Linked DNA regions of Bombyx mori. The protein of the gene in region 2 purifies or fractionates together with the protein of the main gene of each other region. This does not show direct contact. Links are inferred from orthologs where the notes say so. Each region holds a gene or a part of one and is shown on either strand. Other genes may lie near its edges.

Evidence for each region.
Region 1: the proteins of sarcolemmal membrane-associated protein (region 2) and programmed cell death protein 10 purify together in Homo sapiens (affinity purification with mass spectrometry; 3 studies listed by BioGRID and IntAct, counting the BioPlex papers as one, with this or other methods). This does not show direct contact. The link is inferred for Bombyx mori from reciprocal best matches to the Homo sapiens genes SLMAP and PDCD10.

The regions. Positions count from the first base shown.
Region 1 is NC_085110.1:8,725,734-8,729,844, forward strand, and holds the start of programmed cell death protein 10, read left to right. Parts: upstream 1-1,311; 5' UTR 1,312-2,129; coding exon 2,130-2,201; intron 2,202-2,798; coding exon 2,799-2,976; intron 2,977-3,142; coding exon 3,143-3,275; intron 3,276-3,598; coding exon 3,599-3,760; intron 3,761-4,111. UniProt on the Homo sapiens protein: Promotes cell proliferation. Modulates apoptotic pathways. Increases mitogen-activated protein kinase activity and STK26 activity. Important for cell migration, and for normal structure and assembly of the Golgi complex.
Region 2 is NC_085114.1:11,202,830-11,206,329, reverse strand, and holds part of sarcolemmal membrane-associated protein, read left to right. Parts: intron 1-53; coding exon 54-272; intron 273-1,516; coding exon 1,517-1,666; intron 1,667-2,787; coding exon 2,788-2,889; intron 2,890-3,053; coding exon 3,054-3,206; intron 3,207-3,500. UniProt on the Homo sapiens protein: Associates with the striatin-interacting phosphatase and kinase (STRIPAK) core complex, forming the extended (SIKE1:SLMAP)STRIPAK complex.

The DNA of each region.
Region 1 (4,111 bases), on a different chromosome or scaffold from region 2:
AGGAAACAATTTAGAGGCTTCTTGGTATGAAATGGGGTTTTGAGACATATGTTTTTTAATATTTGTTTGTCTACTAAACTCAGGGCAAGATTTGTTTGTAGCCATATGTTCACCTCTACAGTTAACACAAGAAAAAGTCTCAGTATTACAAGCCAGTCCGCTGTGCTCTCCAGCACATTTATTACATCTAGGTTTGCTCCTGCATTGAACACGAGTGTGTCCAAAGCGACAACAATTGAAACATTGTACCGTTGGATAAATATACTGTTCAACTGGAATACTTGAAAAAAAGGAATACACTCTAGAGGGAAGAGACTGTCCGTCAAAAGTCAAGACCACAGTTTGAGTAGGAATCCATGAAGTTCCATCTGAGTTGACAGACTTCCTGTTTAATCTACGGGATTTGATAATTTGTCCATAGCCTTCTGGGATTTGCAGATTGTCTACAATGTCCTCATGAGTCCACTCCTGAGGGATACCCTTTATCAAACCCATTTTACATATATTATATGTAGGAATCACTGGAATCACAATGGATTCATAGACATGTTGGATATGAAAATATTGGCATCACTATGTGTTTTAAAAGTTATTGCCAGGCGATTACGACCTACTCGTTTAATTCCATCCTGTAAGATATTACCAAGATTGCTTTTCTTTAGAAAATTTCCAAATTTAAGTGGGTGCAGTGATGTAGTACTATTAGAATCTGAGATTAAAGTAACATGGACCATATATGGACCAGGATCCTGTTCAGTGTATTTTTTTCTGTAAACAGAGTCAGCCATTGGGGTCTCAGATGGTGTCATAGAAGGACTCGCTGAAGTAGGCTCTGGTGAGGTCTGTACAATTTGGCGAGGAGGCACTATAAGCTTATTTACGTTATTTGCAAGATTTCCCGCCAAAGCCTGCTGCAGCGGGCGCAACGAAAGTTGTTTGTCCGAGATCTTTGGTTTAAAAGAATTAACAAGTTTCTTTTTTTGGGATTTCTTCGATTTAACGTTGACAAATTCAGATACGTTGGAAAGGTCGAACTCATCACAGAAAAATATTGGTTGGCTAAACCTTGAGTTAGTCGTATCAGTTGTCTCCTCAGTAATATTCGGATCCGGGGGATCCGTTCCCGCCTCCAACTCCATACTATCTACGCTAAAGTACTAAAATATACAATTATAAACTAAACATATATACAGTTATAAACTAAAATATGCTACAATATCTACAGAATATCAAATTAAATTAGTTAAAAAGGATATGAATTTTTTAATTGGCCCTCTTCTCAAGTTCCGTCCCAAATTTTTTGAAGGTTCCCGCCTCTCTCAATCTGTGGTTCAATGAGTGAAATCGTATTTTTTTTTTATTGATCTGGTGAAGAGGCAAAGAAACTTTGATCATACTCCTAAATTTTTATTAAATATTAAAATATTAAAGCCATGCGTCAGTTGTATTGTCATGGTCTTTTCATGAAAACCCTAAAAACTATGCCTATGATATTTTCTTGTAATTTTCAAAGTACAAAGGATTTAGCTGTAGGTGCTTACATTTCGTTTACAATGGACTAATCAAACAAGAAAATTCAATACGTTCACGTTGTTTGACTTTTGGCGGGAACGCGGGGCGAGAAGTTGTGTGAATTGTTTTATTTATTAAATTAGTCTTTCTTTGGGTTTCAATGTGTAATAGCAGTGGTTTATTAAATGTTTAGTACCCGTGAAAGGGCAAAAATGTGGAAAAATGAAACAAAGCCGCCGCGGCGCCGTGCTGGGTGTAGTTTCCCAGGATCTTCCAAAAAGTCTCAGTAAATAACCATATCACTCAGACTATACTTCATCCCAACTCATCTTGTTTCATTTACTTTCATCCTAATTGATTCATATTTCAAATTAATTAATTTAATTTCGTTCTCTTCATTTTTCATAAAAAAGGAACAATTTGGTTGTAAGGTGATACTTTCGCCTTTCCAGTTAGAAAAAGGGAAGTACTACCACTTGACATATTTCTCAAATTGTCACCAATGATTACAAAATTTACCTTCATTAATTAAACTGTTTTTATCTGATTGTTACTGGCCTACAATCATTGGGGTTTTATAAATTTCTTAGATAAATTGAAATATTTAAACTATCACAATGACAATGGGCGATGAATTGCCTGTGACTTCTTTGGTATTACCAGTTTTAATTCGCCCTGTCCTAACGCAGGTGAGTCGTTCTAAATCTACTTACATGTATTAAAATATGACCTTATCATTTTAGGCATTCTAATCAAGGTAACTTAACTATCAACTAGTTTCTTGGTAACCTCAACAAGACCCAATATCAGAATTAATAAAATGAATTGATCTTGTATCTTTTGTTTTACAGTCGTTAATAATAAAGAAACCACTGTAATATTGCTTTCATAACTTTATTCATATTTTGTTACTGGTTACTGGAGTTCTTAGAAAAAATATCATGAATACTGTTGCCCTAAACTTCAAGTCTCAATTGCCTGATACAAAAAGTTATCCGAGCAGGATAACTGACAGAGCAAGATAAAGCAGACATTGTTATTTCTTGGGAAAAATAAAATGGTACATGTGTGTTCATTTTGATCAATGTCGTCTTAGATTAGGTAGCAAATAGACGCAAAATTATAGGAATTTAAGGATGAAAATGGTGAAAATAGTAGTACTGTTATAGGAAAGGTAAGTATTAATAGTAGTATGTATTTTGTCGACCCAAGCAAAGTCGATAGCCAGATAGACTATTATTAATATTATTTTCCCACCTAAAGTATGTTTTAAAATGTGTTTTCAGCTGGAGAAATATGATCTGGCTGCCTCTCAGACATTACGAGCAGCTCTCACCAAAGCAGAGGCTGCAGTACCTGGTCTTAATTATGATTTGGTGGCAGGAATCATGAGGAGAGCAGATATTCCTGTTAATATGAATGAGAGCTTATTAAGATTACAAGGGAGTCTCACAGATTCAGAATGTATGAATTTATATTTTTTTGTATTTAGTTAACTTACAAGTTTATGATACTATTTAAAAAACCTTCAAGTTATGAAAACTGACCATTTTTCAGAAATAAAACGATAAAGACAAAATTAAAAAACAAACGATTTTACAATGTAATCTCAAGAAAGTTCTGTTTATAGGTACTGATTTAAGGCTGAACAGGACTGAAGAGGCATTTCAGGAGCTTAATAAGAAATCTGCTGCTTTGAAAAAGATACTGAGTCGCATTCCAGATGAGATAACTGATCGGAAGACTTTTCTTGAGACTATCAAGTATGTGCTGTAGAAAATGCAATATTGGTTGTATTCTTTAATATATCAACACTTGAAAGGCAAACATGACTAAGTGACAATGCGTGTACTTTACAGTAGACCAATTTAAAGCTGAAATACCTGAAAAAAATTCAATTTTAATGAATCTAGCTGTAGGATTGAAATGTTTTTAATATACCTAGAAATATATATTTTTTACGCATTAAATATGGTTATTGCCTATCATTTATGTACAAAGCAGTTATTATTGCTTAGTCACATTTGCCTTTCAAGCGTTGATATAATAATCAACATTGTAATAACCATAGTATATAATTTAACAGGGAAATAGCCTCTGCCATAAAAAAATTACTGGATGCTGTAAATGAGGTATCTACATATACTCCAGGTCCTGGGAAGCAAGTATTAGAACAGAGGAAAAGAGAATTTGTAAAATATTCAAAGCGATTTTCTACTACACTCAAAGAATACTTTAAAGAAGGACAGTGAGTATTTATGTCAATTAGTTACAATCGGAGATCCATTGTTTTTTATTTTTATTGCATTAGAGCAGTGATTCTGAACCTTTTTTTTGTTGCGGCACATATTTAACTATTTCAAAATTTGGCGGCACACAAAGAAAAAGATAAAAATTATTTACTTACTACCGAATCACATACATTTGCTAATTTTAACGAAAGATAAGGTGCAGTAACTACTATGCAACACCTTGTGAATCCCAACGATCACTAAAACAACACGTTTTGTACGAAAAAGTGGCAAGTGTGCGCCGACTTGAGACATATTCCTATTGCTATGCACGCCGCTTCATCATAATTTGGCACTAAGAAAAACCG
Region 2 (3,500 bases):
TACGTACACGATTTATAGTTGCTAACATAAATATTTGCCTGTACTCCTTCCAGGAGGCGATACAACGCGAGGCGTCCCTGGAGAATCGTTTGCGCACGTTACGCGAGTGCGTGGAGCGCACGAGAGCAGAAGCGCAGGCCTCGTGGGAGTTGTTTGTGGGCGAACAACGACTTCTAATGCGGGTGCACACTCTCGAGTCCATGCTGTCTGTCGGGAAGCAACCGGACGAGCAACATCTCACGCAGCTACTCAACGACAAGAGGAACTATCAGGTATCAACAACTGTCAACAACTATCGACTGGTGGTAGGACCTCTTGTGAGTCCGCACGGGTTGGTACACCACCACCCTGCCTATTTCGGCCGTGAAGCAGTAATGCGTTTCGGTTTGAAGGGCGAGACAGCCGTTGTAATTATACTGAGACCTTAGAACTCATGTCTCACGGTGGGTGGCGGCATTTACGTTGTAGATGTCTATGGGCTCCAGTAACCACTGGATACCATGTGGGCTGTGAGCTCGTCCACCCATATAAGCAATAAAAAAATCTGTAAAGTGAAAATTTTCAATTTGGCCTTATTTAATTGCTTAGATTGTGTGAACGTTAAGTGGTTACTGGAGCCCATGGATATCAACAATGTTAATGCCGTCGCCTACCTTAAGATATGAGTTCTAAAGTCTTCGTTTTTACGTTGGTGGGATTTGTGGTCTCTGTCTTAATTCAGTAGTAAGAAATGCGAATTATAATTACTGCGAATTAAATTTTTATTACACGATGATATTCGTTCATTATTAAAGTGTTTTCGTGAATATATGTCAAATTTATATTTCATTATTTGGATCTGCGATTCCACCGTCGCTATTATTTCTTAAGATGTTCGTTATTTTATACGTAGAAACGTCTTACACACAGACTTACTACTAAACAGTAGGCATATTATGAAATATTAGAACTGTTGAAATTTGGAAAGTTTAATTTAAAAAAAATGCATATACCTAGTTTTCATGCACTTGTACTTGTGTACTTACTTCTGATATATATCAGCGAACCCTGTTCAGTAAGCTGATTCCAAAAGATGTATATGTTTGTCTCCACTTCCAAACTGGAAATCGTTTTGACTGATTCGGTGGTGCATTAACTAACACCTCTGGCGCTGGGCCGAGGGTCGTGGGTTCGATTCCCGCATTGGGCAAACGTTTTTGGTATGAACAGCATTATTTGTCCCGTGTCTGATTAATATCCGTATATGTCTATTTTTAAACGTACACATATATTTGTTTTTGGTTGCCATAGTTCAGGGAATACAAGTTCGGGGTCATATGGCATTTGTGACCAGCAACCTTCCTGTCCTTTTTTTTATTTATTTTTTATTACGGCCCACCTGATTGGGAGTGGTTACCGTCGCGCATGGACTTCAGCAAAGCCAGGGGCAGAGCCAAGCCGCTGCTTACCGCTTAACGTTATGCCTTACGTTAAGACGTTATGCCTTAAGCTTGAGAAATATTGTTTCGTGTTACAGAAAGTGGCGCAGGAAAGTCTTCGAGCGGCGCACGAGCAGCGGCTCGCGCTGGAGGAGTCGCTAGAGCGACGCAGTCGGGAGGCGGCCGCCCTGCACCACCACAACTGTGCGCTGCGACTCGCCGCCAACAACGCGCTCGCCGAGCTGCAGGTCACTATTTATTGCCGTTGCAGGCAGACGACTTACTGGTGGTAGGACCTCTTGTGAGTCTGCCCGGGTAGGTACCCGCCTATTTCTGCCGTGAAGCAGTAATGCGTGTCGGGTTGAAAGGTGGGGCAGCCGTTGTAACTATACTGGAGACGTTAGAACTTATATCTCAAGGTGGGTGGCGCATTTACGTTGTAGATGTCTGTGGGCTCTAGTAACCACTTAACACCAGGTGGGCTATGAGCTCGTCCAAACATATAAGCATTAAAAAAAAAAAACGAGCATACCGCCTACCTGATTGTGGGTGGTTACCGTCGCCCTATTTACTTCAGTAATGCCAGAGCCAAGCCGCTGCCTACCGTTAAGTACTCTCCACAAGCCTCGTTTGAAGAAGGACATGTCATAGCGCTCTGGGAACACCGTGGATGGTACGTGGCAAAAAAGATCTCTGGAAACGCACTGTGGATGAGCGTAACGGCTCCAGGTAGCACGGATGAATTCTACTCCGGTGGCAGGCGTTGGGATGATAAAAACGAAGATCACTCTTTGTTTATCGGTGCACCACCGCAGACAACCGCCACCCACCTCGTGATGTAAAGTCGAAATCCCAGCTGTACTGTCTCGCTCTTCAAAACGTGAGAACACTTCACGGTAGATATAGACAGTACTTCGTACCTGCCGGTGTTCAACACGGTGTTTCCCAACTTGGGGCCCAGGCCCCATAAGGTGACAATTTGATAATATAGGGAGTAATCGCACTAAATGAATATAGAAAATTTGTATTAAAATTACTTTGAATTTGAATTTCAATTTTAGATTATATGTTTTGAAATATTAGTTACTATGTTTTGATAACAATTTGATAGTGATTTCTTCCTAAAACCTGTCATTTATGTTTCTTAAGCGAAAAAATCAATTGCTTAATGTTAAAAATTATGTATGGGGGGCATACAAATTTTAGAAATGTTACATGGGGCATGGCACAAAAAAGGTTGGGAAACGCTGGTTGAACATCAACCAAACCTACCATTGAAATATGCCGCAATCTCATATTATGTAGTGTTTGAAAACAAAAACGTTGAATATAGAAATGCACTGCTATTAAATCTGGTGTGTGGTTACAGAAGCTGGCAGCGAGATGCGAGCGTAAGATGTGCGCGGCGCGGCTCGCCATCACAGCCGCCGAAGAACGAGAGAAAGCTGTGAGGAGCCAACTACCTCTCGCTGTGAGTACATTAAACTTATCCATAAACAAAAATAATAATAATTATCAGATATATTTTCGCAATGTATGTGTTGATAAATAGTTTACACTGTTCTAAATAGGAGAAGGGCAGGAGAATGATGATGATGACGTATTGATTTATCTCTTAAAATATATTTCTACCAGTATTCAGTACAAAACGGCGAGACGAAGATGTTGGTGCTGAGTACGGACAGCAACAAGCTACAGGAGCCGAAACGCAGCGCCACCCTCGAGGAAGCCGTCCGGGCCCTTCCTGATTACGTCAAGATGCTGCTGCCGCAACAACTACTGAATAAGGTATACTAGCTCATAATGGCCTTACTGTACTGTTACTGATGCGGGGTACCGTAGTTTGGGGGGAATCGGGGCCCTTTCCAAATATAACACAAATTTTCAATGGTTTTTCTTGGGGTAGTACCAATAAAATTGAGATTAAAATAGTTCCGGAGGTTTAAATTTTTATATAAGATGCGTTATTATACATAGTTCATTACCTTTTTTCCTACCTATGCTGATAGCCTTGAGAGGCTATTTCAGCTTCGCCCTAACGTGTAGGTGAGCTCACGGGGCTCAAACCGGGAGTGGCCCGGT